Diceros bicornis minor: one gene and its partners. The protein of the gene in region 1 purifies or fractionates together with the protein of each later gene. This does not show direct contact. Links are inferred from orthologs where the notes say so. Each region holds a gene or a part of one and is shown in the gene's direction. Other genes may lie near its edges. The genes, in order: BIRC2, BCL10, MAP3K14 and HTRA2.

Evidence for each region.
Region 2: the proteins of BIRC2 (region 1) and BCL10 purify together in Homo sapiens (affinity purification with western blotting; 3 studies listed by BioGRID and IntAct, with this or other methods). This does not show direct contact. The link is inferred for Diceros bicornis minor from reciprocal best matches to the Homo sapiens genes BIRC2 and BCL10.
Region 3: the proteins of BIRC2 (region 1) and MAP3K14 purify together in Homo sapiens (affinity purification with western blotting; 3 studies listed by BioGRID and IntAct, with this or other methods). This does not show direct contact. The link is inferred for Diceros bicornis minor from reciprocal best matches to the Homo sapiens genes BIRC2 and MAP3K14.
Region 4: the proteins of BIRC2 (region 1) and HTRA2 purify together in Homo sapiens (affinity purification with mass spectrometry; 4 studies listed by BioGRID and IntAct, counting the BioPlex papers as one, with this or other methods). This does not show direct contact. The link is inferred for Diceros bicornis minor from reciprocal best matches to the Homo sapiens genes BIRC2 and HTRA2.

Annotation. Positions count from the first base shown.
Region 1 is NC_080746.1:32,615,342-32,622,629, reverse strand, and holds the start of BIRC2 (baculoviral IAP repeat-containing protein 2), read left to right. Parts: upstream 1-4,276; 5' UTR 4,277-4,664; intron 4,665-5,871; 5' UTR 5,872-7,131; coding exon 7,132-7,288. UniProt on the Homo sapiens protein: Multi-functional protein which regulates not only caspases and apoptosis, but also modulates inflammatory signaling and immunity, mitogenic kinase signaling, and cell proliferation, as well as cell invasion and metastasis.
Region 2 is NC_080743.1:21,671,980-21,679,225, reverse strand, and holds the start of BCL10 (B-cell lymphoma/leukemia 10), read left to right. Parts: upstream 1-4,236; 5' UTR 4,237-4,493; coding exon 4,494-4,550; intron 4,551-7,246. UniProt on the Homo sapiens protein: Plays a key role in both adaptive and innate immune signaling by bridging CARD domain-containing proteins to immune activation.
Region 3 is NC_080757.1:43,655,543-43,663,384, reverse strand, and holds the start of MAP3K14 (mitogen-activated protein kinase kinase kinase 14), read left to right. Parts: upstream 1-4,834; 5' UTR 4,835-4,924; intron 4,925-7,842.
Region 4 is NC_080751.1:14,486,792-14,494,055, reverse strand, and holds the start of HTRA2 (serine protease HTRA2, mitochondrial), read left to right. Parts: upstream 1-4,247; 5' UTR 4,248-4,335; coding exon 4,336-4,841; intron 4,842-4,945; coding exon 4,946-5,150; intron 5,151-5,239; coding exon 5,240-5,434; intron 5,435-5,676; coding exon 5,677-5,763; intron 5,764-5,941; coding exon 5,942-6,047; intron 6,048-6,169; coding exon 6,170-6,239; intron 6,240-6,915; coding exon 6,916-7,011; intron 7,012-7,118; coding exon 7,119-7,264. Other genes in the region: ATP-dependent RNA helicase DQX1, read right to left, coding at 1-63; lipid droplet-regulating VLDL assembly factor AUP1, read right to left, coding at 1,112-1,148, 1,255-1,373, 1,560-1,675, 1,792-1,911, 2,043-2,145, 2,244-2,313, 2,556-2,629, 2,730-2,802 and 4 more.

The DNA of each region.
Region 1 (7,288 bases):
ACCTATGTTGCCATCTAGGTGATATCCCTCTCAAAACAATTTGTTTACCATACTTTTCCTGGTGACCTTCCTATAACTTGCCTCTCTTATCCGGAAGCCCAAAACTTCTTTTCCTTTGTTGGTATTTAAACCCTAAGTTCTAACCACCACTTTGGGTTACTCATCACTGAGGGTTCTCATTTGAACACGTGCAACGCACATATTAATAAACTTCTGTTTGTTTTTCTCTTGATAATCTATCTTTGGCCAGTCTAATTTACAGGACCCCAGCTGGAGAACCTAAGATGGGCAGAGGAAGAGATTTTTCCTCCCCTTCAGTATATACTGACATACGGGAGAAAAAAATTTCTCTCTACCCGTCTGAGTTCTTAGCTGAGATCCCTGTAATAAAAGACAGATTAACGAGAGAAAAACAAACAGAAGTTTAATATGCATACCTCATTTATACGTGGGAGATACCCAAGGAAAGATGAGTAACTCCCTGAGGTGAATTAAGCCACAGGCTTAAATACCATCTTCAGCTAAAGACAAAATCAAGAGTGTGGGGAGGCCAGTTATGGGGAGGTTACCAGGAAAAGCATGGTAAACAGGGTAAAGTTTGTTATGCAGATTTAAGTCAGTGCCTTCTCCATTTGTCACCTCCCACCCCACTTTTGGCCCACCTATCCTGATCTTAGCAACAGTTCTGCTATAAGTCAGGTTAGTGAGAATGCCCCCACCCTTGATATCTGACCAAATTCCTTATCTTCCACCTTTGATATATAAGCCCTCGGCCTATATTCAGCAAGAATCCCCCTGCCCTTGATGTCTCCACTAAGTAATTATACATCCACTGACTCCCCTCATTCTGCTGGTTGGCTATAAATCCTCAGCCATCTTTGATGTATTCAGAGTTGAGCCTGATCTCTTTCCCCTACTGCATGCGATAGTCCTGAATAAAGTCTTCCTTCTGTTGTTCCTTACTTACTGACATTTTAACAAGTGTCAGAATAATTTTTCCTTTAACAATACCACATAACCAATCCTAATATTCTTTTATGCTTAATTTTAAAAAAATATATAAAATGTTACATATGCAATTGATGCATATGAAAAGATTTTCAATCTCATTCATAACAAAGAAATTAAAGCTATGCTGAAATATCCATCTGATAGACTGGCAAAAATCCAAAAGTTTGACAACATACTCACCTGGTGAAGCTGTACAGAAAAAAGGAACTTACATATATTGCTGGCTGGATTGTAAAATGCTAACATTCCCATGGAGCGGGAGGGGTATTTGGCTATATCTAGCAAAATTACATATGAATTTACCATTTGACCTAACAATCCAACTTCTGGGAATATATCCTAAAATAAGATGTATGTCCATGTTTATCATTACATCACTGTTTGTAATAGCAAAATATTGGACACCACCCAGATGTCCATCAATAGGGAAGTAGTTGAATACATTATGGTACTAGTTGAATATATGCTACATCTACACAGTGGAGTACTGTGCAGAAATGAGGAATATCTCTCTATATATACTAGTATTGAGTGATCACCAGAATTTATTATTAAGTGAAAAAAGATGAGAAAAAGAACGCTATCATATATCTAAGAAAAAGGGAGCTATGGATAAACATATATAATTAACTATATTTTTAAAATGAAAAAATGAACCATAAAAAATGTTTAAATCATTACCTACGGAGCAGGAAGGGAGTAGTAAAGGTGAGAACAAGGATTTTTCAGTGCGAAGGGAGAAAGTCACAGATGTACGATCAATGAGGTTAAATAAAACCTTGAATTCCTGAATTTGAATTGGAAGAGTTCATGATGCATTTTTTTTTTTTTTTTTAAAACTTTTTTTTTTTTTTTTTTTTAAAGATTTTATTTATTTTATTTTTTCCCCCCAAAGCCCCAGTGGATATTTGTGCGTCATAGCTGCACATCCTCCTAGTTGCTGTATGTGAGACTCGGCCTCAGGATGAACGGAGAAGTGGTGCCTCGATGCGCACCCGGGATCCGAACCCGGGCCACCAGCATCGCAGCGTGCGCACTTAACCACCAAGCCACGGGGCCGGCCCCATGATGCATTTTATTAGGGAAAAAAAAAAACTACAACAAAACAAGACCATATTACCCAACTCTGTCCATGGAATAGGTTATAAAAACAATACAACTCTAATAATTAGCACCACAAACATTCAGATTATGGTCTTCAGATACTATTTCCCATGAAAGGAAACAGGGCACTTGGAATAAATGGCTTACTACAGGTATGGGGTAAGAAATGTACAAAACCAGCCTGAAAAGCAATCAAAGACTACTAGGGCCATGTTGAAAGGACTCAGGAGCCAATATGAATAAGCTCCCATTGGCCTGAGATTAAACAACTTTGGGCACCGATAATGACAATAACTGTAATGGATTACAACTCACAAGATACGTTTAAATCCTCAGATGATAATGATAGCTGTTCACTTTTTGGGTTTTTATTCACCAGGAATTTTTTTAATAGTTTAAGGTCATGATCTAATTTTATTTTTTATTAGAATAATCAGTTATTTGACATTACTTATTGACTAGTTAATCCTTTTCTCTCTAATACATAATATCAATGTCATATATCAAATTCATATATATATGTCTTTTTTCCGGGTTCTTTAACTTGTCCCTTTGTTTATTTGTCCATCCTTGTGTTAATACAATACTGTCTTAATTACCATGCCTTTATTAAATAACTCGTTATCTGGTGGACAAGTCCCCTCCATCTTATTTATGTTCCTCAAAATTGTCTTGGATCCTATAAATATTTTTTCTACAAAAATGTGAAAAATATTAGGATGGCAACCTAATTCTACACTTGAAATATGAAAAAAATTAATTGAATAGATTTAACGCCAAACTACAAGGTTATACAAGATTAAAAGTTATAAAGTAATATTATACTTGAATGTTATTACATACTTTTTTGGGAAAATGTCTAAGGCCTTTGGGTTTTTGAAATTCGAATTTTCCCCAATACTGAAGTATATTCATTATCTTACTTTTTGGTCAGGACAAGAACTGAAAAAGAGAAATAATCTTGAACTCGGAATGAACAATTCTTGCTATATGTATTTTCCCACATATATAAGGAAGATTCTGTAACTTTCCGAGAAAGAGTGACTTGGACTAAATACTGAACTATCAAAATTCATGTGCATATTTGGAAGTTTTTAGTCATTGGGAGCCATGGCATTTCTTTTCTCTGTATCACAAACTGCTACAAATACTTTCTTTTTATTATTATCATTGGAACAGAAGATCTCCTGTTCTGTGACTGACTGGCAGGCAGAAATGACAGGGACAGGAAATGGGAAATGGTTCAGGGTCTTGGAATTCCCCTGGCTGCCTAATTAAGTGGCTTGTTATTTGGAAGTTTTTGAAATGTTTGTCCCCTGGAGTTCCCCTGCGAGAAGAAAGCATCTGATTTCATTGACAAAGAGTGTCTTCACACAAGTAAATTAAAAAATTCCTTCCCTGCAATACAACAAACACACACTGCACGCCTCTGCATTTCGGCACTACTAAAGAGGAGGGACACAAAACGCCCACAACTAGTAACACCAAGATTTTTTACTTAGAATTTTTCTATCAGTGAACTATTTAAAAATTTCATTGAGAAGTGGGCTCCTCTGTGGTTCACGCACGATTTATGTATACACACGCATATATATGAATGTACACATTCCATTTTAGTCACATTCAGAAAAACCCGGGAGTGAAGCCTGGCCTAAAACACCGTTCATGTTGCTAGCGATGAGTTTTGCAACAAGACACTTTTTCGTTAGTGCATATGTCTCCAGAACAGAAAACCGAAAGTTTAAAAACAATGTTTATAAATAAAAGATACACTGGTTGATTATAAAATAGATATATAATCCTCAAGAGATGATAAAATCAAGCCTTCAAAATTAATCTTCTGACGCTGTTCTACTTTCCAACCACTTGGCTTTTCATTTCCACTGCCGGCTGTGTAATGTTGATGCTACGCAGCTGCGCTCTGAGGCAAAACGGTTACAACTGTTTAAAACGGTTGCAACTGTTTACTTAATTGAAGCAAAAATGCCACCAGGTTGACTTCATCTTCAAGTGCACTCATCTAAGACGAGCGGAGGTGTCACCCCGGAGGAATTTTGCCAGATGCTGGATCATAACTCTGAGGTGACGCGGAGGAAGAGGCGCAAAACCGCCGGCACTGGGGCGTTTCCGCAGGGTTTCCCAAGATTCAAACTCCACGGCTCCCCGTTTGCCACGTCCCCGTCAGGAGAATGTCAGGGACTGAGAGAGAAGGAAACGTTACTCAAACTGCAAGATTAAAAATCGAAACACCGAGATGATGTGGACGCTCGCGCCTCGCCCCGCGGGCTGACCAACTTCCCGCAGGCGGACGCGCCCTCGCTCCCGCTCTCGGACCGCAGACTCCCCGGCGCCCTCGAGCGGCGGTGACGCGGGGCCGGGCCAGGCGCGCTGACGTCACCGTGCGTCTGCGTGGGCCCTGCTTGGGCGGGGGGCTTCGGGAGCGCCGGACCGGAGCCGGCGGGCCTGTCTTCTGTCGGCGCCGTTGCTCTGGGTCTGTGGAGGTCGCCGGGCAGCCGCGCTGTTTCCGTGTTTGCTGCGCCGGCACTGCGGTGAGTGCAGCTCCTTCCGGGCCCGGGCCCGGGCCGCGCGGGGACCCGCTTCCCCGAAGCTGCGGCTGGGCCAGGGAGGGCAGGCCCTGGGCCCCTGGGGCCGGGGGGCGCGGGTCGCGGTGAGCTCTCTCCACTGGCTCTCTCTATTCTCCCCGAGGCTTTTTAATTCGGAAGTTTCAGCTCCAAGACTCGAAGTCGGAGATAAAAATTGACCTGTTTGCACGCCCGCCCTGGCCGCCGCCCACTTTTCGGCCCTTGGACTTTGACCAAGATGTTTTCTCATAGAGGTTTTGCAGGAATTTAATTTAACCCTCGGTGTTCCTTTAATTTAATATGTTGAAACGAAGACAGGTGTGTGGCGGCCACATCTCACGTTTCAGAGTTCGAGCTGTGCTCCGCCACTTCAGGAGTCTGTTGTGTATTGAGAGAAGTAACTCCGGGAAATCAGTGGGTAAATCCCACAGTTTCTCTTCTTTTCCCTTGCAATCTATCCCCCCACCCGGCTACAGTTTGCATGAAGATGGCAGAATCCACAGTACGGTGTTTGTGTATACAAATTTAAAGATATGATATCAAGTCCTGGTGGAACGAAAGCATTTGTGCAGTGGTCACGTTCCCAAGGCCAGTGTTTTTCCCATTGTGCTATGTTTTGTTTTCGAGTTGCTTTCTGTGGTTGTGGCTTGGGAGTTGTAGAGTTTAAGGGTTTATATTAATGAGTTTCTGATGCATTTTACGCTTACTGGTCAGTTTGCCTAGTCCTGGAAAGATGTGACTTTCAAAAATAACATCACTGTCTAATTATTGCTGTACTGTTGCTGATGGGATGTAGTCTCTCTTTTTCACCGCTGTCCCCTTTTGCTATTAGCAAACTGCCAGAGATATCATCTTTAAACCGTTAAAAGTTGTCACCAGAAAAGGGGAGGAGACCAAGGACAAAATACTTTCCTCTTTGGAAATGTCCATCTGTCTTCAAAGTTGTACGTTTAAAAAAAAATGTATAGTTAGTGCTAAGGGGGGTATATGGCATTTATTTGAATTAAGAGCTTTTCCATTTAGAAAGTTTTGGAGACAAATTGCTGGAATTAAGATGTGGTATTATCTAAAGTGTAAATCATTTTTAAGACTTCACTGAATAAATTGAAGAGTGTGTAAGTTCTATTTAACATGAAGATAGTTTTCTAAAATAGCTTTTGTTTTTTCTTTTCAGATTTACAGCTCTGAAGAGTCTACTTTTTCCCCCTCTTTTTTCCCCCTGCAGTAATAAATCCCGTTATGGAGACCCAGAAACTTTATAAAGGGATATAGTTTGAATTCTGTGGAGTGTAATTTTGTGTATGAATAGGGTTTTCAGAAAGAATGCTACTAGGGATAATTACTGGTACATTTTGCAGAAGCAGTAATTCTCTTGGTAGTGCAATATTTTGTTAGGCATTTGTATTAACACTAAAAAGGACAAGCTGTATCTTGATAAATTGATTTATCTTTAATTACAAAATGAGTGTATAATAGATGCATGACCTTAAGTGAAAGACAGATGATTTAATTTTTAAATGGAGTGTAAAAAGTTTCAGCTGTGGCAATTTTATGGTTAACTAGTTAAGTTTATGGAGAAAATACTTTCAGTTGATCAAGTGTAATAAAGTGATATGCAGTTAGGAAGAAAGGCAACATAATGATGCTGCAGGAAATGGAAACAAATATAGACAATATTTAACAAAGATGGAAGATTTAGCAGTTTGTGGGCTTTAAGCAAAATTAATTTCATTTGATATCATACACACTATAATGAGCATAAGTTCAATAAAGCTTGTGGGTGTTGACGTCCCCAAAAGTTGTTAGCTGAAGCTAATATAACCCACTTAAGTAAATACTATGATGATAAGCTATGTGAAATTAGCCTTTCGATAATGTGACCATACAAAGACTTTAGTTCTTGTTTACTAGAATAAAACAAGGTTTTTTTTATATATCATATTAAAGTACTTGTAGGGAAAGAATCTTGAATATAGATTTTTCCTCTTGTAGCATAATTAGTAATTGGCTTGACATCTAGGCTTTGTAGGCTGTAATCAGAAGCAAATTAAAGGTATAACTTAGGTATTCTACAGTTGTTTAGAATTTTGGGAATATAAACCCACTTGAAAAATCAAGGAGTTTTAACTTATTTTTAGAAGTATATCAACTTAATTCAGGCCATTAGGTTAGTATTGCACCAAATAAGAAGCACATAACACTTAAGTTACCTAAAAGAGTTAATATAATCCCAAAGAGTACTAAATAGTATCTTGGTAATTGAGGGGAGAGATTCATCCTACCTGAGTGTAAACTCAGGTGTAAGTCCAGTAAAGAAGGTTTAGTGAGTTTTACATAAGTAGGAGCTTATTTGATTCTTTATGGTAAAAATCTAGTGTGAAGAGATGAGAAATTTCATGTGAAGGTTTTTAGCCATTCAAAAGTAAAATCACTCATGCACAAAACTACCTCCCAAAGACTTGTCCCAGGTCCCTCGTATCAAAAAATTAAGAGTATAATGGAAGATAGCACGGTCTTATCAAGTTGGACAGTCGGCAACAAACAGAAAATGAAATATGACTTTTCATGTGAACTCTACAGAATGTCTACGT
Region 2 (7,246 bases), on another chromosome or scaffold:
TAACTATTTACAGGAAATTTACCATTCACAATTACTTGGAATAGAATTCATTGCTCAATACAATGCTTGGTATCTGGCAGGAAGTTTTAAATAAATCATTAAACAGCAGTTAAAGCGCCACCTATTAAAATCCCCCAGCCCAGTTTAAATACACCTCTTTCATGTCGGCTTATCAGTCAGAAATGGTTTCCTCTTTCCTCCCTCTGCATTCCTCTAATAGCTATCTTTACTGAATGCTTATTAATTGTTCCCAGGTCATACAGCTAATAACTGGCAAATCTAGACTCCAACTGTACCGAGTTGAATAGTGTCTTCCCAAAATTCACGTCCACTGGAACCTTGCAATGTGACCTTATTTGAAAATAGTGTCTTTACAGAGGTAATCAAGTTAAGATAAGGTCATACTGGATTAGAGCGGGCCCTAAACCCAATAATTAGTGTCCTTATAAGAAGAAGGAAATTTGGAGACAGAGACATGGGAGGAACGCAGAAAAGAAGGCCGGGTGGAGAGGGAGGCAGAGATGGGAGTTATGCTGCGCCAGCCAAGGAATGCCGAGGAGTGCTGGCAGCCACCAGAAGCTAGGAAGAGGCAAGGAAAGATCTTCCCTAGAGCCTTCAGAGAGAGCACGGCCCTGCCAATTTTGGACTTCCAGCCTCCAGAACTGTGAGAATAAATTTCTCTTGTTTTAAGCCACCCAGTTTGTGGTAATTTGTTACGGCAGCCGTGGGAAACTAATACACCAGCCTAGGTCTGTCAGATGCCGAACGTCCTCATTCTTAGCCACTATGATATGCTGCCTTATGTTTGTAGCACCTTAACTGTATCCTTCACAGCATATTTATCAGATGCCTCATATTTCACCGTAGGAGGGAGATGGTGCACCTAGAAGTCGAGGTGGGGACGGAGGTGGGGGGAGGGAGAATTATTGCAAGGTAGAGAATGGGCAGGGCTATTTTCTTGAAAATATGCCCAACCTTCATTACAGTCTGACCCTGTGATTTAGCAGAGAAGGGGAAATGAGTTTGCTTATGAAGGAAGTACGATGCGCTAGAAAGAAAGCAGGATTGGGAACTGCAAGGCCTACCAGGAACTAGCTCTCTGATTAGGTACGTGGCATTCAGATATCGCTACTTTGATACAGATAGTTTGACTTGGAAACATTGAGACATGGCCTTAAAAATGAAATATTAAACTTTCAGCTTTAAAAATTCCTAAGCTCCTCACCAGTCCCACCCAATCCCTGATCCTCATTCCATAACTCCTACTTCTGACACATAGCAGACATTTAACTTTTTAGTTGAATAAATAAATAAGGGAATGAATGTTGAGGATGCAAGAAGGCTGGAGGTATCAGTAATGAAATGATGGTCAACAACAAGGAAATAGTCAGATGTATAGCAAGGGTAATGAAAGAAGGCTCAAGAATCAGAGATGTCTCCCATTAATATTTGGTAATCAAAAGCCATAGCAGAAGCAAATGTGGCAAAGTATCAATATTTGTTAAATCTTGGTAATGAACAGAGGTTGTTTGTAATATTATTTTTTCCTTAGAGTTTAGTGTGTTTGAAATGTTTTGTTTAAAAAAGAACAATAATAGGGGCCGGCCCCGTGGCTTATCGATTAAGTGCACGTTCTCTGCTACTGGCAGCCCGGATTAGGATCCTGGGTGCGCACCAACACATCACGTGTCCAGCCATGCTGAGGCAGCGTCCCACATACAGCAACTAGAAGGATGTGCAACTATGACATACAACTATCTACTGGGGCTTTGGGGAGAAAAAGGGGGAAAAAAAAGGAGGAGGATTGGCAATAGATGTTAGCTCAAGGCTGATCTTCCTCACAAAAAAAAAAAAGAACAACAATAGAACAGCAACCTCATAATGGCTGGATCAAAACGGGTGTGTCAAATTGGCATCATTCAAATCACTTTGCTCTGATGGGTTCTGAATCCCCTCCTTCACCAGCAGAGCTGGTATGGTTATGGCAAAACAGTTCATTCCCACACTCGGATGGACCAACACTTTGGAGACAACCCATGGAAATATACATGAAGAGACAGAAAATCATCATTTCCTTGTGCTCTGTATTCCTGCTTCTGGGAATTTATGCAAAACAAATGATAATTCAAAAGAAAAAAGAATGAGGAATATGTAGAGGAAAAAAATTTTTATAACAATGAAAAATTGGGAATAACTTAAGGTAACTATGGGAGAGTGCTCACCACTGCTCCCACCCCTGTCACAATCATGCCACCCTCACCTTTGCCTGGATCTCTGTGGTAGTCTCCAGCTGCTCTCTGCTTCCGCCCTTACACCTACAGTCTGCTCTCTACTCAGCAGACAGAGTAATCCTTTTAAAAGGAAATGAAATCACTTCCCCACTTCTCTTCAAAATTTTCTCACTACCCTCACTGCTACCAACCCTGGTCTGAGCCACCACCTTTGGGGCTGGATTATGGCATAGCTCCCTAACTGGTCTCCCCTTTTCCATCCTCCTTCCCCTCAAGGCAACAGTGAAAGTACTCCTTTTCAAATCATAAATCGGATCATGTCACTCCTCTCTGCTCAGAACCCTCCAGTGGCTTCCCATCTGACTCAGAGTAAGCCAATATGACTCAGAGCAAAGTCAGAGTAATTTTTACAGTGGCACACAAGGACCTCATCTCCTTCCCAGTCACAATGGATGCTTTTCATTGGCTCTTCTGTCTACTCATATGTTCTTTCTCCCTATGTCCACATGGCTCATTCCCTCATTTCCATCAAGTAGTAACTCAAATCTCCCCTCTTCAGTGAGGTCTTCATTAACCAGCATATTTTAAATTTTACCACTTCATACAGCCTCATCCTACTTCCCTGAATTATATTTCCTTTTAGCATTTATCATCTTCTAACATAACAAATAATTTACACTACATTTTTCAAATATCTATCTGCCCTGTCCCAAACACAAAGACACCAGAATTTAAACTCCAGAAGGAAAGGGATTTTTATCTGTTTTGTTCACAGCTGTTTCCCCTAGAACAGAGTCTGGCATATAGTTGACATTCAATAACTATTTGTGAAATGAAAGAACAAATGATTAAGTAAATTGGGTTGTACCAAAAGGATGGAAGATTAAGCAATCAGAAAAAATGTGGCATATCAAGGTGGAAAAAAATATATGATGCAATGTTAGTGTTAAAAGCAGAATTCCTGTGTTGTGATCAAAACTTCATTGGTGTGGCTTTTGCAACACTGTTCTTTTCTGATTCTCTTGGTTTCCCTTCCCTTAAATGCTGGGGTTCCCAAGTTTGTCTTTGGTCCTCTTGTCATTTTTATCTACCTTGTAGCTTCAAATACCATCTCGGTTATTTTGCATGTTGTCCAAACAACAGTTGGGCCAGGGCTCTGTTCAAGCTTCTCACCCACATTTACTCATGTTGCTTTGCATACACCTCTGTTAGAATACCATTCTGGGAATAATTGTCTGTCCTTCAGTCTCCCCCAACAAAATGGGAGAACTCTTACAGGATAAGATGCCTAGAACATATTCATAAGGACTCCATAAATGTTTGAGTAAGACAAGATAATAAATAATAAATTGATTGCATACTGTGTGCCAAGTACCTCTAAGAACCTTACATATACATATTTAATTCTCACAGCAGCTCTATGAGGTAGATATATCATTACACAGATGAATAAACAAGGAAATATGTATGTTTACAATCAACAGTGACCAAAAAGTATGCAGACGCTAAACTAGGTGTTAAAGCGGTGGGATTGTAGGTGCTTTTTCAAAGTTTCTGTAATGTAGTTAGGCTGTGTATTTGTGGGGGGGGTGTGTGTGTGTGTGTGCGCGCGCGCGCGTGCATGACCAAATAATTTAAAAACTTGTGTGGGCAAACACAGCAACAGGAAATTGGAGGGCAGGGTCTGGGAAAAGAGGAGGAACTCAAAGGTGCAGACAAGCCGAGACCGGACTGCACCAGCGAGCAGTCTGCGAAGGCGGGGAGTGCCGGTGGCGGAGCAGCGACCGGTCCCACCCACGGAAATAATTCCTTTCGGAGACGCCAACCCGCGGCCACATGCAAACGACCTGGAGGCTGTGGGCGGAGCCACTCCCGAAAGACTCTGGCCGGGGGGCGGGGAAAGTCTGGGCCCGCGGGCTCGCCCCGATTCGCTGCCGCAGAGATGGGGCGGGCTCTGCTGGTGGCCCCGCCCCACCGAGGGGCGGTGCCTGCGCCTGAGGCTCTAGCGCGGAGGTGGAGCGCTGCTCAAGCGCCGCGTCGGGACGCGTAGGTCTGCAGCGTCGTCGGCCTAAAGGGCAGAGCCGGAAGCGCCACGGTTTGACCCACGGATCCCCTCTGTCTTCGAAGGGGCAGCCCTCTTCCTCTGGGCTTTCTCCACCTCCCCGTCTCCCCGCTCATCCGGAGGCCGAAGCCCCCAGCCTGGGCGGGGCGGCGCAGCCCGAGCTCCGCGACCCGGAAGAAGCGCCATCTGCCGCCTCCGCCATGGAGCCCACCGCGCCGTCCCTCACCGAGGAGGACCTCACTGAAGTGAAGAAGGACGTGAGTAGCACAACCTTGCCCAGGCGCCGCGGCGGGCGGGCGCGGGGGGGTGGGCTGCAGCCCCGCGGACCAGGAGAGCGGAAACCCGGAGTCCGAGTCCGAGACGGACGAGGAGCCTGCGGGTCGGAGGAGCGGAAGGTCCAGGCGTCGCGGGACCGCAGCGAGCCCTGCATACGAGGGACCTTGGTGGAAGTGATCCCCCGGTGACCTGTTAATCGACGTTTTAAATCACTCCATGCAGGGCCAGGGTTTCTGAAACCTCGCTCAGTGGAGCGCTTCTTCGCAGCCAGCTCCTCGCCCACTCCTCGCCCGTGCCCTGGTGATTTTCCCCCGCTGCGCCTTGGAGCTGCGTTGTTAGGGATCGACGGCTCGGGTTCATCCTTGAGTCTGATTTCCTTTGCTGCTGGCTCAACCTGGAGCAAAAGCCGGACCAATAAAAAGATCCTAAGCAGTGGAGGAAATATGTGAAACTTTTTGCAAAGGGGGTTGGGGGAAGCTCAACAGCTGAAAGCACAACCTGGAATTCCCCTAGTAAGCAAACGCCCACATATTTAAATTGAGGGGGGGGCATGAATACAAGTAGCCGAGAGTTAATTTAGAAGTAAGCGTTGAAAATATTCAGAAGCTAAATTATGGTCTTCTGCTTAGATACTGCAGAAATGCACAAATCTTAGTATTCTTAAAGAATGGCTTTGTTGCAGTATGACTTGTTTCTCTTTTTCCTTTGCTTTTAGTTACTTGTTTTGCCATATAAGACCTATATGAGTACCACTAAACTACTTCATATTAATTGAAATTAAAAGTAGAAATTCAACAAGAAGTGTGTTCTGGCTTAACACTGTGGTACTTTTACAAAATCACCTTTGTGAACTGGACGAGACAACTGCTTTTTAAATGTTCATTTACTTCAAGTCTCTCCCATTTCCCTCCCCTGTAAGATTTATTACACTGTACTCATCATTACAGTTGGTATGACTCATTAGCAGAAGGAAACTAGATATGACTGGGACCTGTGCCTTAGTTTCCTCATTCAGCAGATATTTATGGAGCACTTACCATATGGAAAGTACTGTTCTTGGGCCTGGAAAGATACAAAAAATGACCATCAAGCCTCTGCTTTACATTCTAGTTGAGATAAGACTGGGACATTGATAACAACTATAGAATAAATGAGTGTTGTCTTATTCAAGATTTGTGCCAGTAAAACCATGAACTTCGAGAGCTAGGCCTGCTATGTTCCAGATGCTGTGTCACACAATTTACAATGTTCCCATTTAAACTTTACAGCAGCCTCTAATAATTGTCATTCCCATTTTACAGCTGGTAAAACAGGCAGTGAAAGGTTACAAGTGGGAGGATATACCAACAGAGATGTGAACAGTGGCTTCCAGGCCTTTATTTTTTTCTATCAGTTCATTGATATTATCCATCTCCATGACTTCAATTTATACAGCTCTATCAGAAATTCATAACCTTGGGGAATCATGGATGGTTTATGACCTTAGAAGATTTTAAATTTAATATCTACGTATTTGGACTTCCTTCTCTCTCAACTCTAGGCACTTATTTCCAAATATCTACTGGAAATCCACTTTTATATTCTTGAGAGCCCTCACTTGGTCTAAAATTAAACTTTTTATCATCCCTCCCCCAAGGCTCTTGCAGTTGCTGCTGTATTCTCTGTCTTAATGAATAGTATACCACCACATGTCCTGGAAACTCCCACTTCTTCACCGTACTCCTCCTCCTCACCTGCCCCATCTAGTTGTTTATTTACATCATTATTTTGATTGAATTTAGTTCAGTTTCATAAATATGAATTACATGCTGCTGTGAGGCTGATACTGTAGTTGATTTTAATAGTTCAAAAATTAAAAACTAAGAGAGAATCCTAGTTTGAGAAGAGCTCAATTTCCTGCGGGGGCGTGGCGCAGGAAGAGAGAAGTAAAATGGTAATTACAAATCACAAAATAAGTGCAATCAATTTTACATCCATCTGAAACACTGTCTAGTTGACACTCTGCTAAGTGCGAGGTATACAGAACAAAACATACCTGATTCTTGCCTGCTTCAAATATAGATCATTAGGGTTGAAAACAAATAAATGTATAATTACAAGTTATAGAAAGTACTATGAAGGAGACAAACAAGTATTGAGAGAATAATAGAGGAAATCTACTTGAGATAGGATGGTCAGGGAAGCTTACGTTTAAACTGGTTCCTGAAGAATGTGACGGAACTGGAGAAAGAGCATTCTGGGCAGAATAGAATTTGCAAAGGACCTGAAACAGGTAAAGCCTTGATGACTTGGGGAAATTGGAAAAAGGCATAGGGTGCCCTGAGGTGAAGTTAGGAAGATGGACTAGAGCCGGGTCATGAAGGGTCTTACAGATGGTGGTAAAGTGCTCGTTTTTTTTCCTCAAGTGTAGTGGGGACCTATTGAAGATTGATGTTACATTTTTTTAAAGATCCCTCTGTCTGTTGTATGGACTGAGGAGAGCAAAAGTGAGAAGAGGGAAGCCAGTGAGGAGACTCTTGGAATTGATGTAATTGAGAGATGATGGTGATTTAGATTAGGGTGAGGGCGGTGGAAATAGTTGGAACGGGAGAACCCCAGATGCATTTTTGAAATAGAAATGATAGGACTTGGTGATGGATTGAGTATGGGAGTTGAGGAAGAGAGTGGAATCAGATTA
Region 3 (7,842 bases), on another chromosome or scaffold:
GGCCAATGAGAGATGCTGGCAGGAGACCAGAGGGTAGAAGGTGGAAGGAAAGGAGAATCTTCATCCCTCTTGGTCTTGAGTGGTGTCTGTGGAAGTGGTTGTGTCTTTTCTGTGGTTCCAACTCCTTCCAAGTGACCCTGGCCCCCAGCCACTGATTACACTGCTTCCCCCTCAAGTCCCTCCAACCCAGGGGTAGCAGTGGATTCCCGGCCACCTCGCCCTCTCTGGCTGGGCTTCCCGGCTCTTCCACCCTCCATGTAACCAATTCCTTGCATTAAATTCCAGGTTTAAAAAACTCAGAATGAGTTCTGCTTCCCTGGTTGGGCCTTGCCTGATACAGTAACTCTATCCATCCTCTCATCACTCTCATCACCTGGAATGACTTACGTCCTCATTTGTAGTCACTTATTCAAGGTCTGGCCACCCACTAGACTAGAAGCTCCCTAAGGGTAGGGACTAGTCTGGAGGCTTTGCGCTCCCTCCGCAGGGCCTGATGCAGTAGGCGCTCAGAGCATCATATTTGTCCCTGGCCGCAGATGAGACCTGAGATAAGGTCACTTGACTAGGAGGCAATTAGTGGGTGTCCATGGAGAGAAGGGGTGGTGGGCAGAAACCAGACTGCAAGGGGTACATGCAAGTGGGGAATGAAGCAGACACCAGGAGTACCAAGAAGTTCGGGAGTTGAGAGGGGAAAGAAAGTTGGGTCAACAGTGTAGGAGAAAGCCAGGATAGGGGAAGGGCTTTTGTTTTTTTTTCTTAATTTGTCTGTTTTTAGGCTGGGGAGATGATCACATTAGGAGGTTGAGAGGAAGAAGCTAAACGGGAGAAGTCGAAGGGCAGGAGATGCAGGGACATCGGAGGTGGAACACATGACCTGGGTGGTCTCTTGGGAGGATTACATCCACCAGCAGGGTTGAGGACAGTATGGAGAGGAGACTGGAGGCAGGGACGCGAGTTAGGAGGTGATCACCAATCAGGAAGTGAGAAGAATTTGAATCAAGCCTTAACCCAGGGCTCCCTAAGAAGGCTCCAAAGTTGGGAGAGGTCTCAGAAGGTATGTCCAGGACCTGCTCTGGTAAGGTCGTTTTTGCCAGGGAGACCCCCACCCAGGCAGCTCCGTCCTTTGTGGAGATCAGCACCTCTCCTCCTCACTCACATCACCATGGCACCACCTCTTCTCCAATAGCTCTGTGGTTCCTTGTAGCCCTTTCCATCTCCCTACGTGGGGCACAGAATTGGTCGGGGGCAGTCAGGGTCCAGAATCTAGTAAACGTTTAACAACAAGCTCGGGGGCGGGTAGCCCTGCCTTATACCGTTTGCCAATTTCCACGGTGTAAATACTCCCACCATATCCAGTTTCAAGCTACCAACGTGAGGTCACCAATGGCACAGTAGGAAGAGAGCTCCAGCACATCACTGCCTGCAACCATTCCCTCCCCTGCCTCCATGGCCCCTCCACAGACTCTGGACTGGGCGGAAGCAATGGGGCAGGTCCAAGCCTGGGAGGGCAGCGACAGCACCACAGCTGCAGCCTCAGGCAGACCCCTGATAGGGAAAGTAAAACTGCCTCTCCTCCAGGAACACCCACCCACAGCCCCCAGTCATCTCTGATCTCAGCATCTCATCTGAGTTCTTCTCAAGTATAACTACAGGATCTCACAGAAATCTGGACCTGCGATCCACAGACACTCAGATGATTCACAAGCCACTTTCTCACTAGACGTGGCTGGACATCATGAACTGGGCTGACTAAGGCAATAAAAACCAGAATATAATTTCCTTTCTTCCAAAGCAAACAGAAAAGCAAAAATGATCCAAGGATAGCATTCTCTCACTGATGCACAAAATGCACTCACTCTTCACCACACTTCTACAGAACTGATGGGCAACTGGCTCCTTATGGCCCAAAGTCTCTTTACAGAGTCCTGCACGCAGGAGGGCAGGGGCCCTGGGGTCCGCCTGGTTTGAATCCCAGGTCTTCTATTACAGCAAAGTGACTTTGAGCAAGTTACTTCTCTCTGAGCCTCAGTTTGCTCATCTGTGAAATGGGATGATAAGTAAGAGATACTTACTCTATGGGGTTAGACTGCAAGAGTTCTCAACTGGGGGCAATTTTGGAGACATCTGGCAATGTCTAGAGACATTTTTTGTTGTCACAACTGAGTGCAGGGGCCTAGTTACTGGCGTCTAGTGAGCAGAGGCCAGAATGCTGTTAACCATCCTACAATGCATATGACAGCCCTCCACAACAAATGAATTATCCAACCCAAAATGTCAATAGTGCAAGGTTGAAAAACCCTGGGCTAGAGGGAATATTCAGTGAGGTTATGCACACAAAGCACTTAGAAGTGTCTGATTTACTTTTTGTAAGCTCTCAAAAAACAGAAGCTGCTATTCTTTTTGGAAGAGCACAGTCTAACCCTCCTATTTCCAGACTTGAACCCTTGGGGTGGGATATGGAAATCCTTGAGTGCTGAGAGCCTGGCTCACTGCTCCAGGTGTGAGTCACCCTGTAAATGTCAATTTATTTTATTTAAAACAGAGCTGAGGCTGCACAAATGACTCAGGGCTAGAAGCTTTCCCAGGTTGTCGTGACTTAACTGGCTCGGCTGAGAGGAAGTAATTTTGCCCTGAAGCTCTCCTTCCAGAAGGTGCAAGCATTTTAAGGCTCCACAGTGCTTACTCCAGTGGGTGTTGTGTTGTTTCTCACCTCACCCTACACACAGTGGGGCTTGGAAAGACCTGAGAAAAGCAGCTGAAACTTCGAGGCCCTGCTTGTCCCAAACACCGTCCTCACTAGTGTACGGTGGTTTGTTTCTCCTCTGCAGCCTGATGTGAAATTCCTTCTCACGAGTCACAGTTTTGGGTCAACACAGCCCACTCTCTCCCACTAATACACATCTGTGTTCACGGATGGATTTAAAGACAGATAATCTTGATGGGGGGGGGGCGGCATGGAGGTGAACCAGGACCAGAGAAGTCTCAAGGGAAGCTGGGTAAAGTGTGTGGGCATTGGCTGTCCTAAAGAAGGAATGGTGAGAGAGGGAGAAGGCAAAGGCGAGCCAGGGAGTGTCTGCAGACTCTGGGCCCATGCCCACGACTTTCCTGAGAAGTGGTGTGCCCAGAGGCAAACAGGTGGTGGGAGAGGCTACAGGCTTGCTGATACCGACCTGTAACCCACCATCTGGCCAAGTTCCGCCTCTCCCTGAGTCACTGAAATGAAAAACCCTGGCGTTGGAAGGAGCTTTAGGGTTCACTAGCTTCTTTCTTGCCCACCATCTCCCAAGCCAGCCAGCGGCAGAGCCAGTTTATGCATCAGAGACCATCCAGCTTCAAGCATGCGCACCATGGGGGCCACAACCTCAAATGCTTCAGGGGCCAGACGGACGACATAAGGTTAAGAGGTTGAGTGTAAAACAGGGGTAGGGGCTGTGGGGAACTGCAGGCTCTGCGCTAAGGCATTCAAACTCAGTTTTAAAAAAAACATTGGGCCAGCCAAACAAAACATACCTATGACCTGTGTGAGTGGGTGAGGCCCTTAGGTTGTGAGTTTCCCACCTCTGCCTAAATAAATGGTCTTACCTATCCCCCAACAACGGAGATGTCTGTTGGGTGCAGATCTCCAAAAATAGTTACCAAAAACTGTCTGAAGAGTGATCCTGAGCAGGTGGCCTGGCCTTTGTTCAAACACTGCCAGAGATGAGATGATCCTTACTACTCAAGACAGCCTGGGATGCGACCTGCCTACCCCACCACTGAAACCAGTTACTACACCTGCCTGCCGTGGACCACTGATGAAGGTGTGGTGCCCAGGTACGTGCACATCTTTTATTTTGCCAACCTTTAAAGTTTGGAATTTTTTATTACAAATCAAATACACGCTCACTGTAGAAACGATGGCAAGGGCAGATAAACGAAAGTTAGAAAAGAAAAAATGTCCATACCTCCCCTAACCGCCCAGCCCCCCGCCTCCCATCAGAAAGAAGCACTGTTGACACCTTAGTGCGTATTCAGACTCCAGGTCCTTTTTTTGCATAGGTAAAGCTCTCGTCTTTCCGGCTGTGTAGTACTCGCACCACGTTGCTTCTCCGGCTGTGGGAAGGGGGTGCACCATGCCATCCGCGCGCCTTCTCATCAGACCTCGGTTTCCACACACAGGTGTGACCTGTGTAGGCCTTTGGCTCCCCAAGCTTCTCGAGCAGGCACCAGAACCTGTCTTACTCGTCCTCAGGGACTTTACAGTGCTAGGGACATAGTAAGTGCTCAATAAAGGTGATTCTAACCGTCCCCCCGCCTGCTTACGCCGCCACAGCCTCAGGCAAAGAGGAAGCAGAACCAGACCCTAGAGACAGCGCCTCGCCGTCTCCAAGGTAACCGAAGTTCGAACCTGGGGAGTGCCCACGCATGCGCACACTCGCCCTTCCCTCCCGTAACCTCCAGAAGAACGCAACCCGTAAAAAGACTGCCACAGCCGAGCGCGCATGTGTGGTTACACCTACACTCGGGTCGCCTCCGCCATCTGTCAATCCGTCCGCCCAGCAATCTCTTCCCTATAAACATCGTCCGGAAGTAGTGCCCATTTCTGAAAACGAGACCTCGTTAACCAATCGTTGCTAGGGGCGGTGCGCCGGGTCTAGCCAGGACGCGCTCTCATTGGTTATGTTGGAAGAGTGGGCGGGGCCAAAGGTCGAGGTGCGGCCACAGCAAGGAGGCGCGAAGCGAGGCAAATTTGCAGCCGCCGGGGGAGGCGTGGCCCCGGGGGAGGCCGGGAAGGCAGTGAGGGGGCGGGACCCGAGTCCGGGGCGGGGCGACCGTGGGGCGGGGCGACCGTCGGCCCAGAGAGCAGCGGTCGGCGACCGGCGGCGGGAGATCGCGGGTGAGGGGAGCGCAGCGCTCGCTGGTTGGGGAGATCGGCGCTCGGCCGGTAGGTGACGGGGCGGGACCCCGGGCCCGGAGCGGGGATGGGTCGCCCCTCAGCCCGGGGCCGGGCTGCGGCCTGGCCCGCCGCCCCAGAATGGGGGGTTCGGCGGCGCGGCCGGTCGGACCCACTCGCGCTCGAGCCCTCGGCCCTGGCGGCCGGCAGCCGGCGCGCCCTCACGCACGCTGCCAGGGCCACGGTCGCACGCCGTGCTCGCCGCACCCCCGCAGGCCACACGCTAGCCCGGAGCGCGCGCAGGGGTGCCCTGCTTCCCCTTCCCCGACATCCCCATTCCCCGGCGCTCCCTGCCTCACCAGCAGGCCTGCCTCTCCTGCTCCGGTCCCCGGGTGCCCCCAGGAGGGGGCCTCGTCTCGGCACGGGACGGAAGGTGTCTAGTGCTCAAGTGCGCCCGGTCTGTGCGCTCTCCCACCTGCCCTGGCAGTGAAACCCTCTGGCCTTGCCTGGGAAGTTCTCGGGTCACACCCCGAGGCGGGGAGAAGGAGGAGAGCCTGCCCTTGGCACCCAACGGGGTAGTGCTGGCCACTCGCAGCATCCTCTTCCTTCCCGTGACCCCTCTGGAATTCTTCGGTCCGCTCCACTCAGGACTTGATCTGTCGGCTCAGATATAATATTCCCACCTTGGAAGCCCATCGTGACCCTGGCAGCCTGCAGCCACCCAGCACCAGGGAGAAAGAGGCCACTTGTACAGTGCAGAGAGTCCCACCTGCCTCCTTGATGTTGAGTGACTTCAGAAAAAGCGTTTCCTTCTTGATTGAAGTTAAAGTGTTGCTCTCAGTCCTAAAGGGTGGACTGGGGAATGAGAGTGAGGAGGAGAGGATGAGTGGAGAAAAGATCCAGAAGTTAGTGGTGTAATTGGCAAAATTATTTTTGTTAACTGGAGACGATGAACACCAGTGACTTGATTAGGACTCTAAAAGCAAGTAAAGTTAAAAGATGAGAGGTGGGGCCTAATACAAAATAGCAGTCTGAAGTTTATTCCAGGAAAAATGTTGAAAACCCCTTGACTAGAAACATGGTCTTTCTGAAAGATTAGAAGGAGATAGTGTCTTCACATTAGTGATGTGTTTTTTACTTAGTATCTTCATACCTGTAACCTTTTTCCTTCAGATGTCTGTGTGATGGGATAGATAATATTGTCCTATTTTATAGGTGAGGCACCTGGGGCAGGAGGGGAGAGGGAGGTATATATCTTGCCTAATGCCTCATAGCTAGGACTCAGGATGAGGACTCCAGCCTGGGCCACTGGAGTCTTGTCCAGGCTCCTTCCCCTGGACCAGGACCACATTATGGGACTTAGATGCAGGAAGGAGGGAGAAGTGTTTGGTGTGATATTTATGCTCTTAACATAAGAGGACAGGTGCTTGTCTTGCTTACGATGTGTTTGGACTTACTCTTGGTGTTTTCGAAGTGATGTCAAAGTGAGTTCTTTTGGTGCAGCCATGCCAGACCTCTAAGTTTTTCAGACACCTTTAGGACATCCTCATTTATTTTGAAGGGTGTGGTGAACTTCTCAGAAGGTCTCAAAATAAAAGTAATAGTCTCTGACTTTAATTTTAGAAATACTTGCCCAGGTATACATTCCAGCACTTTTGTGAAATCGGACAGCCATAAGCTGCCAAACTGTAGGTCATTTTCTGACCGTTTTCAGATTATAGGAAGCAGTTCTGAAGGGGGTTTTTTGCCCCTGGTGTTGCCTGTTAGAGTTTGTGGGAGAGGCACCCCAGACAGAGACCCTGCCAAACGAGCCTTCATCTATTAAACAAAAATGTCTGGTTGGCCGTTCCGCCTCAACAGATGGAGGTTTGGTTCCTCATTTTGGTTCTCCTGTTGAACACTGACTCCTTTGTGATCTGCTTGGAGTGTTTGTATATCATTTAATGTTCAGAAGCAGGCTCGCCCTGATTGGTTGGTTGTCTAACTCCAGGCAACTGTTGTGATTTTTTTGGTGGGTGATAACAGTTCATCGTGGCCGAGGTCTGGTGAGAGATCTGTAGAGATGCGAAAGAGGTAAAGCTTCATCCAGGGTTGTTTTCTTCATTGTTGGCATCCTCTTAAGAGTGTCCTGTCACTTTGGCCTGTGAAGCCACTTTTAATTTCCTATTTTTTTCCTGTCTCAATGGATAGCACATGAGCTTTCCTAATGGGCTCCCTGCCTTGATGAAGAGCTGACAGACTCATGGTGGTTGGCTTGACAGATGTTCTTTCTGGGAGGATAGTTAAGAGATCTTAAAACCAAATTCAGTCCTGAATTAAAAGTATAAGTCAGCTCGATACACATATAGGCAGCATATTTGTACCAATGGCTTTTATCATCTCAAAGCTGTTTTTTTTTTTCCTGGCAAAAGGTTAAAATGCAACTAAAATTCTGCTTTCATGATTAATAAGTCACTACCGCAGTTGTGTCTGATGCTTCCTGTTTGCCCCATTTTTGTATTTCAGTTAAACTGGAAACATCTGAGCATTATGGGCACTTTTGATGGCACCAGTGTGAAATTGGCGGGAAGGGGGACAATTCCTGTCAGTGGATTTGGGAAACTCTAAGGATAAGCCAGCCCCTCTGGCCTCTGCACACCCAGATCCTCAGGAAGGGAAAGGAGTGGGGGTTGAGTCTCTTCAAGGGGTGGGTGAGCATTTAAAGTGATGCACGTGTGAAGGCTTTGCATTTACTTGGTGATGCTGACTGAAATGTTGAAAGCAGTAGATTAGAAATGGAAGGCCAAATATAGGGCAAACTGTGTAGTAGAACATTTCAGTTGAGCTGAGCAAGACATTGAAGTATGTCAGATATGGGGTCTTTAGTTCTGGGCTTGTCTTACTACCTGAGTGACAATGCAGAGAAAAGATGTTTTTCCTCAGTGGCCTGTGTGCCCGTCTTTGTATTCTAGTTTAAAAGATCCTCTTCC
Region 4 (7,264 bases), on another chromosome or scaffold:
CAGTTCAGACTCCCCAGGGCTTGGGCCAGACTCTTCTGCCAGCCCGAGAAGCTGAGAGGCCATGGTGGCTGACTGGCAGGACCTACAGAAGGCAGGGCAGTCATTAAGGCCTCATATTTGGTGGCTAACACCATCCTCCCACCTCAGCCCTGATCCCTAACCTGTACCCTCACGTGATAATGTACTGGAGTCCATCTTTCCCAACATTTCTTGCCTGCCAGGAAATAGTGGAGATTTGAGTCTCCAAGTAAGGGAGTATCAAAAGTGAACTATTACCCTGTAGTCAGATAGTAAAAATCCTGTGACTACCACAGGGGTCCTCAGGGGCAGCAGGAATTATATGAGACCTGGTACCCTGTGGGGAGGTCCCCAGGGGAAAAGGCTAAAGAATAAGAGGAGGAGGGGGGCAGGAACCAAGGAACAGGGCCACAAGGACCCTGGATTCAAACCTGCTTGCAGCTCTGAGACGTGTCAGGATGGCAGCCAGTTCTAGACCCACCCAGGCAGTTACCACCAACCCTGACCCGCATGAAGTACAAAGGTAAATTCTGGCTCCACCCTGGGGCTTGGCTCAAACCCTGAACCCTAAAGACTGGTTTTGGGGTGGGGCCATTTGCTCCACCTTATTTAACCTAGTCAGGAGCCTATGGAAAAAGGCTCCAACCACCACACTGAGCATGTGTGAACTTTACAGACACCTGTGTACTGTGCTCGTTAGTGAAAAGCATCCTGGGATTTGCAGTTTTGCAGCTGTTTCTTCACAAATTAGGGCTCAACACCCAAGCTAGGGTCCAGTTGTTCCTGAGTCTTCAGTTCAGTTACAGTTCCTTAATATCACTCATCTCTTGACACGAGGAGGTGATTTCAGACAGTTCCATTCAGACCACTCCCCGACAAACTCATCCCCCCCAACCAATGGAAAAGGAACTTGCTCAGGGGGATTTTGACACCCAGAGAGGCAACAGAGACCTTGAGTGAAAACCCTGAATTTAATGTGATACTGGGGGGAGCCCCATCCCTCCCTTTTTACCACCCACTCATCCGGCCTGTCGTGAGTTGGGTAAGGGCTGCCCCCAGTCTCCGTCCTGCGGCTCTGGGTGCCATCTTGTGCTCAGTCAGCCTCCTGGGCCTGTCTCTCTGTGAATCGCCTACAGGACATAAGAAGACATTGTGTGGACTTTGCCATATTGGCCCCATAATTAGCTCCCTTCTCCAACCTGCCCCTTACTACCCATTGTCCTCTAAGCCCCTCACCTTCTTGCGTATTCATATAGTGCCTGCTTGCGCTCCTGTAGGCTCTCCTGCCGGGCCCAGGAGGACTTGGCAAATGTTAGGGCTGTGGGCTGAGGGGTCACCAGGCCAGAGCTGGGGAACTGAGGTGATCACAATGTCAGAGGGCTTGCGAAGTCATCATCATTAAACACGCATCGAATGCCTACTTTACAAGAGAGGCACTGTGCTAGGGTCTCAGGATCGAAAAAGAGACATCAGGGCTAGGGAGTATTTAGACTGTTCCATCCCACCCCAAGTCTTGGACCTGACCATTTTCTGGGTCTCACCTTGGGGGCTGAGGCTGTGGGAAGCGACTGGGTCTCTTCAGCAATGTCTTCAGGCATGAAAGCTACAGCTCCCTCAAGCAAATTAGTGATAGTCAAGTCTACACAGCCAGTCCTGGCTGGGGAGAAGGGAAGAGAGGAGAGGGGAGTCTGTTTCTCTGCTCACCTTCTCCCCTCACCACCCACTGTTCCTTTCTGTGCCTGTCTTCTTGTGTGAGGCTACCCTTTCCCATACCCAGGTCTCTCTGGATGACACCCAGTGGTACATGGGGTAAAACCTCCTTGACTCTCTGAGCCAGAGCTGCCAGCTGCACATCAGGAGAAGGGCCAGGGGAGGGAGGGAAAGAAGGCTGGGCTGCAAAAAAGAAATCCGAAATATGGTGAGTGGAGAACTAGGAGGAAGGAGAGGCTGACTAGCACAGGAATAGGGGGAAATCACAGTAAGCTAAAAAAACCCAAAAAGCTTTGTGTACAGAGACCACCCACCTGACTGGGGGCGCAATCTGGGGTGTCTTTGTCGCTTCATGTGCTCTGCTTTGTCTGCTGGAGTGAGTCGTGTCCCTGTCTGGCCCAATTCTTTGGCCACCAGCTAGGGAGAATTGGAAGGTTGGAAGTGTCAAGGTTTCAAGCCTTCCTCCCTCACCACCTAAGGAAAGACCCCACCTCCACCCCGCCTGTGTATCCTACCACCTGTTGTACACGGAGGGCAAACTCCTCATTCCCCTCCCCCAGCTGGCGATGAACAGGACGGAGCCACCTGCAAAAAACAATCCAGGAACATCTTGGGGACACCCGGGGTAGAGGCTGTCACCTTCTCCTCACTTTGATACTTTTCATGGAAAAGTGGTGGTGCGAGTGGGGAGATAGTCAATACTTTGTATTGCTTCTATGGTGCAACTTGATATTAAAAGATCTGCAAATGGATGGGGCAGAGGCAACTACTTCCTTGACCTTGAGGTGAGTGTCTCCCAGCCACCATAAAGTGAGGACAGTTAATACCTTACTTGATACACCGTGAAAGGGACGAAAAGCGACCACAGCAATTCTGAGACCCAGGAGGCATCTGACACCGTCTGAGGGGAGGGCATGAAGTGAGGTCTTCATGAAGCCAGGGCCAGGAGTGGGAAACTTCTGCTCCAAGACCCAGAGATTCCCTGTCCAACACGCACTCACCACAGAGACTAGGGGTCTCTGGACTCGCAGGGTAAGAGGTTGTACCACATCCTGGATAGAAAATGGCCAGGAACTAGAAGAGAGAAGAGAGGGTAAGATGGCATTCCAGCCACTCCAGGCAGCAGTTCATACCTGACTTAAAACAGGAACTGTCAAACTGTACAAGTAGATAAATGGAGAATAAAGAATTTCCGGGTAAAGAACTAAAACAGGACAGGAAGGAAATGAACTAGGAATGGAGTGGGTAGGGCTGAAGAAGGTTGTTAAAACCCAAGGGCCCCCAAGCCTGACCACCCACCACCCAGCTGGACACTGCTACCTATGCTCACCCACCTGAAGCGCAGAAGCCCCTCCCGGCCATTGGTAGCCTCTTCCTCGGGAAACAGCAGCAGAGGGGTGGGGGGAAGCCTCGTGGAAGCACAGAATCTCTTGAGTGACTCCACCAACTCCCCCTGCCCATCCACCTCCATGAACCCCCGAGACCAGCACACAAAGCTGGGGGGACTATTGAGTAGAGGCTGGGAACGGGAGAAAAGAAAGCAAAGAGAAAAGAATGTTGGGAAGTGAGAAAAACTGACATATGAAGTAGAGAAGCGGGATTAGGAGTAAGGCTCAGTAGCTTGTGGTCCCCAAGGAAAACCCGGGCGGGCAGAGGGGCAAAGGGGAGCCAAGAGCTGGGCCCCAGAGAACCGCCCCGTGGCGCTCTCGGCTTCGCCCCCCACTCACGGTGCTACAGCTGGTGAGCAGATTGACTACATTGTGATCGAAAGGTGTCACGTGGTTGGAAATGAGGACCCTGACGCGGTGATCCCGGAGTCCAGAGTCCTCCTGCCGGGCCACAAGCCCCAGCACCGCACACATGGTCCGCACCACGAACCTAGGGACACAGGCAGTGGTGACTGCACAGCCTCGGGCCGGACCCAGCCCTGACCCTCCCCGAGCGCCTGGGTCAGCACCTGCGAAGGACGCTCTCTGGTAGTGCGCAGCTGACCAGGAAGACGTGGATCCCAAGAAAGAGGCGCAGGACGAGGAGGCAGAACCCGACAGGAGCGTAGAGCAGCAGCGCGAGGAGCAGGAAGCCGTCACCCGGGAGCCTAGGGGCGAGAAGCGGGGTGACTGGCCGCCGAAGGCCGAGTGGACACGGGAGCCGGCCACTTCCCGCCGGGACTCTTACCGGTGCGAGTCGAAGAGCCGCTCCGGCCCCGGCGCCGGGGGAGGTTCCATCGCTAATACTTTAGGGGTGTCGGGCCCCTTCCACCGCCGCCGCCATCTTCACGCCCCGCCGCAGGGGCTCCTGGGAAGGCGGAGTCTTAGGGCATCGTCCCAGGGTGCCCGGACCCGAAATCCTGAGGCGCCCCGGAAGGGCTAGCGGTCCCAGCATGCCTCGCGGGCCCTCGGGCCACCTCAGAACTTGAGTCCTGCGGGGACCACAATTCCCGACAGTCGCGGGGCGGGGGCGGAGCCGGCCTCCTGGAATCCTGGGTCCCGGCGTGCACTTCTGGAGGACTTCAGGTACCGGCGTGCCCCGCGTCCCGCTGTCCGCCCGCTCGGGTCCAGGGCGCCGCCTCCGTGTAGGGCGGGCGAGGAGGCAGCTGAGGCGGAGCTGATGGCTGCACTGAGGGCGGGGCAGGGTGCAGGCTGGAGCCTACGGGGATGGCGGGCTTTGGGGGGGGTTCGCTGGGGGAAGGGACCCCCGTTGACCCCTGACCTCCGGGCCCTGCTGACGTCAGGTACTCCTGACCCTCGGGCCCGAGTGACTTATGGGACCCCCAGTCTCCGGGCCCGGTTGTCTGTGGGGGTCCCTGAACAACGGACATGTCTGACATCGGGGACTTCAGATTCCCGAGCACAGCTGACTGCGGGAACCCCAGACCCCCGGACGCGGGAGGACTCAGGGACCCCTGGAACCCGTCTGCGCGTGTGGCTGGCGGTGGCGCTGGGCGCCGGGGGGGCAGTGCTCTTGTTGTTGTGGCGCGGGGGTCGGGGTCCTCCGGCCGTCCTCGCCTCGGTCCTCGGCTCGCCGCCCACCTCTCCCCGGAGCCAGTACAACTTCATCGCAGACGTGGTGGAGAAGACGGCACCTGCCGTGGTTTATATCGAGATCTTGGGCCGGTAATGGTGGGGTAGACCAGGAGGCATGGAAGCCGCGGGCTAGAGGGCGGGGGGAGCAGGAGAGGTCCGAGCCCCCTCACATCCGTGCTTTCCCCGCATCCCAGGCACCCTTTCTCTGGCCGCGAAGTCCCTATCTCGAATGGCTCCGGATTCGTGGTGGCTGCCGACGGGCTCATCGTTACCAACGCCCATGTGGTGGCTGATCGGCGCCGAGTCCGTGTGAGGCTGCCTAGCGGCGACACGTATGAGGCAGTGGTCACAGCTGTGGATCCCGTCGCAGACATTGCCACGCTGAGGATTCAGACTAAGGTGGGCGTCCGGCCAGGCCGGGTCTGTTTGGGGCTGTGAATTTGCTCGTATCTCCAGATGACAGCTCTCTTGTACCCATTCTCCCTTAGGAGCCTCTCCCCACACTGCCCCTGGGACGCTCAGCTGATGTCCGGCAAGGGGAGTTTGTTGTTGCCATGGGAAGTCCCTTTGCACTGCAGAACACAATCACATCTGGCATCGTCAGCTCTGCTCAGCGTCCAGCCAGAGACCTGGGCCTCCCCCAAACCAATGTGGAATACATCCAGACTGATGCTGCCATTGATGTGCGTCCTGATGTGACAGAAATGACAAACTAGGTTGGGGGAGAGGAGAGATACTGTGTGGTGTAGGCACCAACTGTGTTTGATGGTGGATAAGGCTATACACAGAGGTTGGGCTGCAAAAAACGTGGCCACTCATTTATGGGCTGGGAAAGGAGAGAATTTGGAGAAAGTGCGGACATCCTGATTATGCCCCCAGGCATAGAGTCCCTGGATCTCTTCCATATTTTCTTCTTGTCCTGCAGTTTGGAAACTCTGGAGGTCCCCTGGTTAACCTGGTGAGTGGGATATCCTTCTTTCCAAGAATCCCTGCCCCAGGTCAGTGTGGAATGGTAGGTTTTCCCTAATTCAATAATGTTTGGTCAAGTTTCTGAGCAGTCTCTTATAGGCTTTCTCCCAGAATCCAACCTGATCTCCCCAATTCCCCAACACTCCCAGCTACGCTTGTTAAGGTACCCCCATCTCCTACTGTTTGTTGGGGTTAGGGAATAGTGGGCTCTGTCCCTGCAGGATGGGGAAGTGATTGGGGTGAATACCATGAAGGTCACAGCTGGGATCTCCTTTGCCATCCCTTCTGATCGCCTGCGAGAGTTTCTGCATCGTGGAGAAAAGAAGAGTGAGTCTGGCTTAGGGGGGAAGGGGCATTCATTGGACCTTACTGGAGAAGGGTTTATTGGGAGGATGGGGAAGGGAAGGAAGGATATAGCTGGGTGGGGCTCATTTGTCCCTCTATCACAGATTCTCATCTTGGAATCAGTGGGTCCCAGCGCCGCTACATTGGGGTGATGATGCTGACCCTGACTCCCAGGTATGAGCTTTAGGGGTAGTGACATGTAGGACCACCAGTATACTCGGTGGTGGGCAGCTGGCATTTCTGTTGAGCTTTGTTTTATTCTATCAATTTTATCTTTATCTAAGATGAGTTGCCTCACATGTGGAGCTATCAGAAGAGCTGTCCTCTCTCATCATCTTGACTTTCTCATCCCACTCCATTTTGCACACTTGCCACCAGATTTATTTTATCTCATTACTGCTTTGACCTTCAATCCATTAACCTGGTGTTTAGGGGCCATTTTCCATTTGTCTCTAATTCAACCTTCCTACGTGAATATACTCTGTTCCAGCCAACCTGATTTCCTACTCCCATGTTTTTATTTATGTTGTTCTTGTTTTTATAGTTAAATGTCAGACCCATCTTTCTAGGCTCAGCTTAAGTTCTACTCCCTCCTTAAAGCTTCTCTTAGGATTCTAGACTGACCTTAGTGCTATTGATTTAACACTGTGTCATTTGGAATTAATTATGTTTTATATACATGTCCTGTTTCCTAACTGCCAGAAGCAGAAAGTGAATTGCCTTTGTATCTGGAGTACCCAGTGCATGCCCTGTCCATACAGCTGTCAGTGTGTTGATGAGAGATTTGAGGTGAATCCAAGATGGGGAGAGTGCCTTGGTGTGGTTAACCAGGTGATCTATGTCCCTTCAGCATCCTTGCTGAGCTACAGCTTCGAGAACCAAGCTTTCCTGATGTTCAGCATGGTGTGCTCATCCATAAAGTCATCCTGGACTCCCCTGCACACCGGTGAGGGAGAGACTGCAGTGGGAGGTGCGGATGGGTGAGGTGTGCATGTGCCTTTGAACTGGGCTGGCTACTCCCTCCTTTCTCTCTTTGTCTGTCTTTCACCATAGGGCTGGTCTACGGCCAGGTGATGTGATCTTGGCTATTGGGGAGCAGCTGGTACAAAATGCTGAAGATATTTATGAAGCTGTTCGAACCCAATCCCAGCTGGCAGTGCGGATCCGGCGGGGACCGGAAACACTGACCTTATATGTGA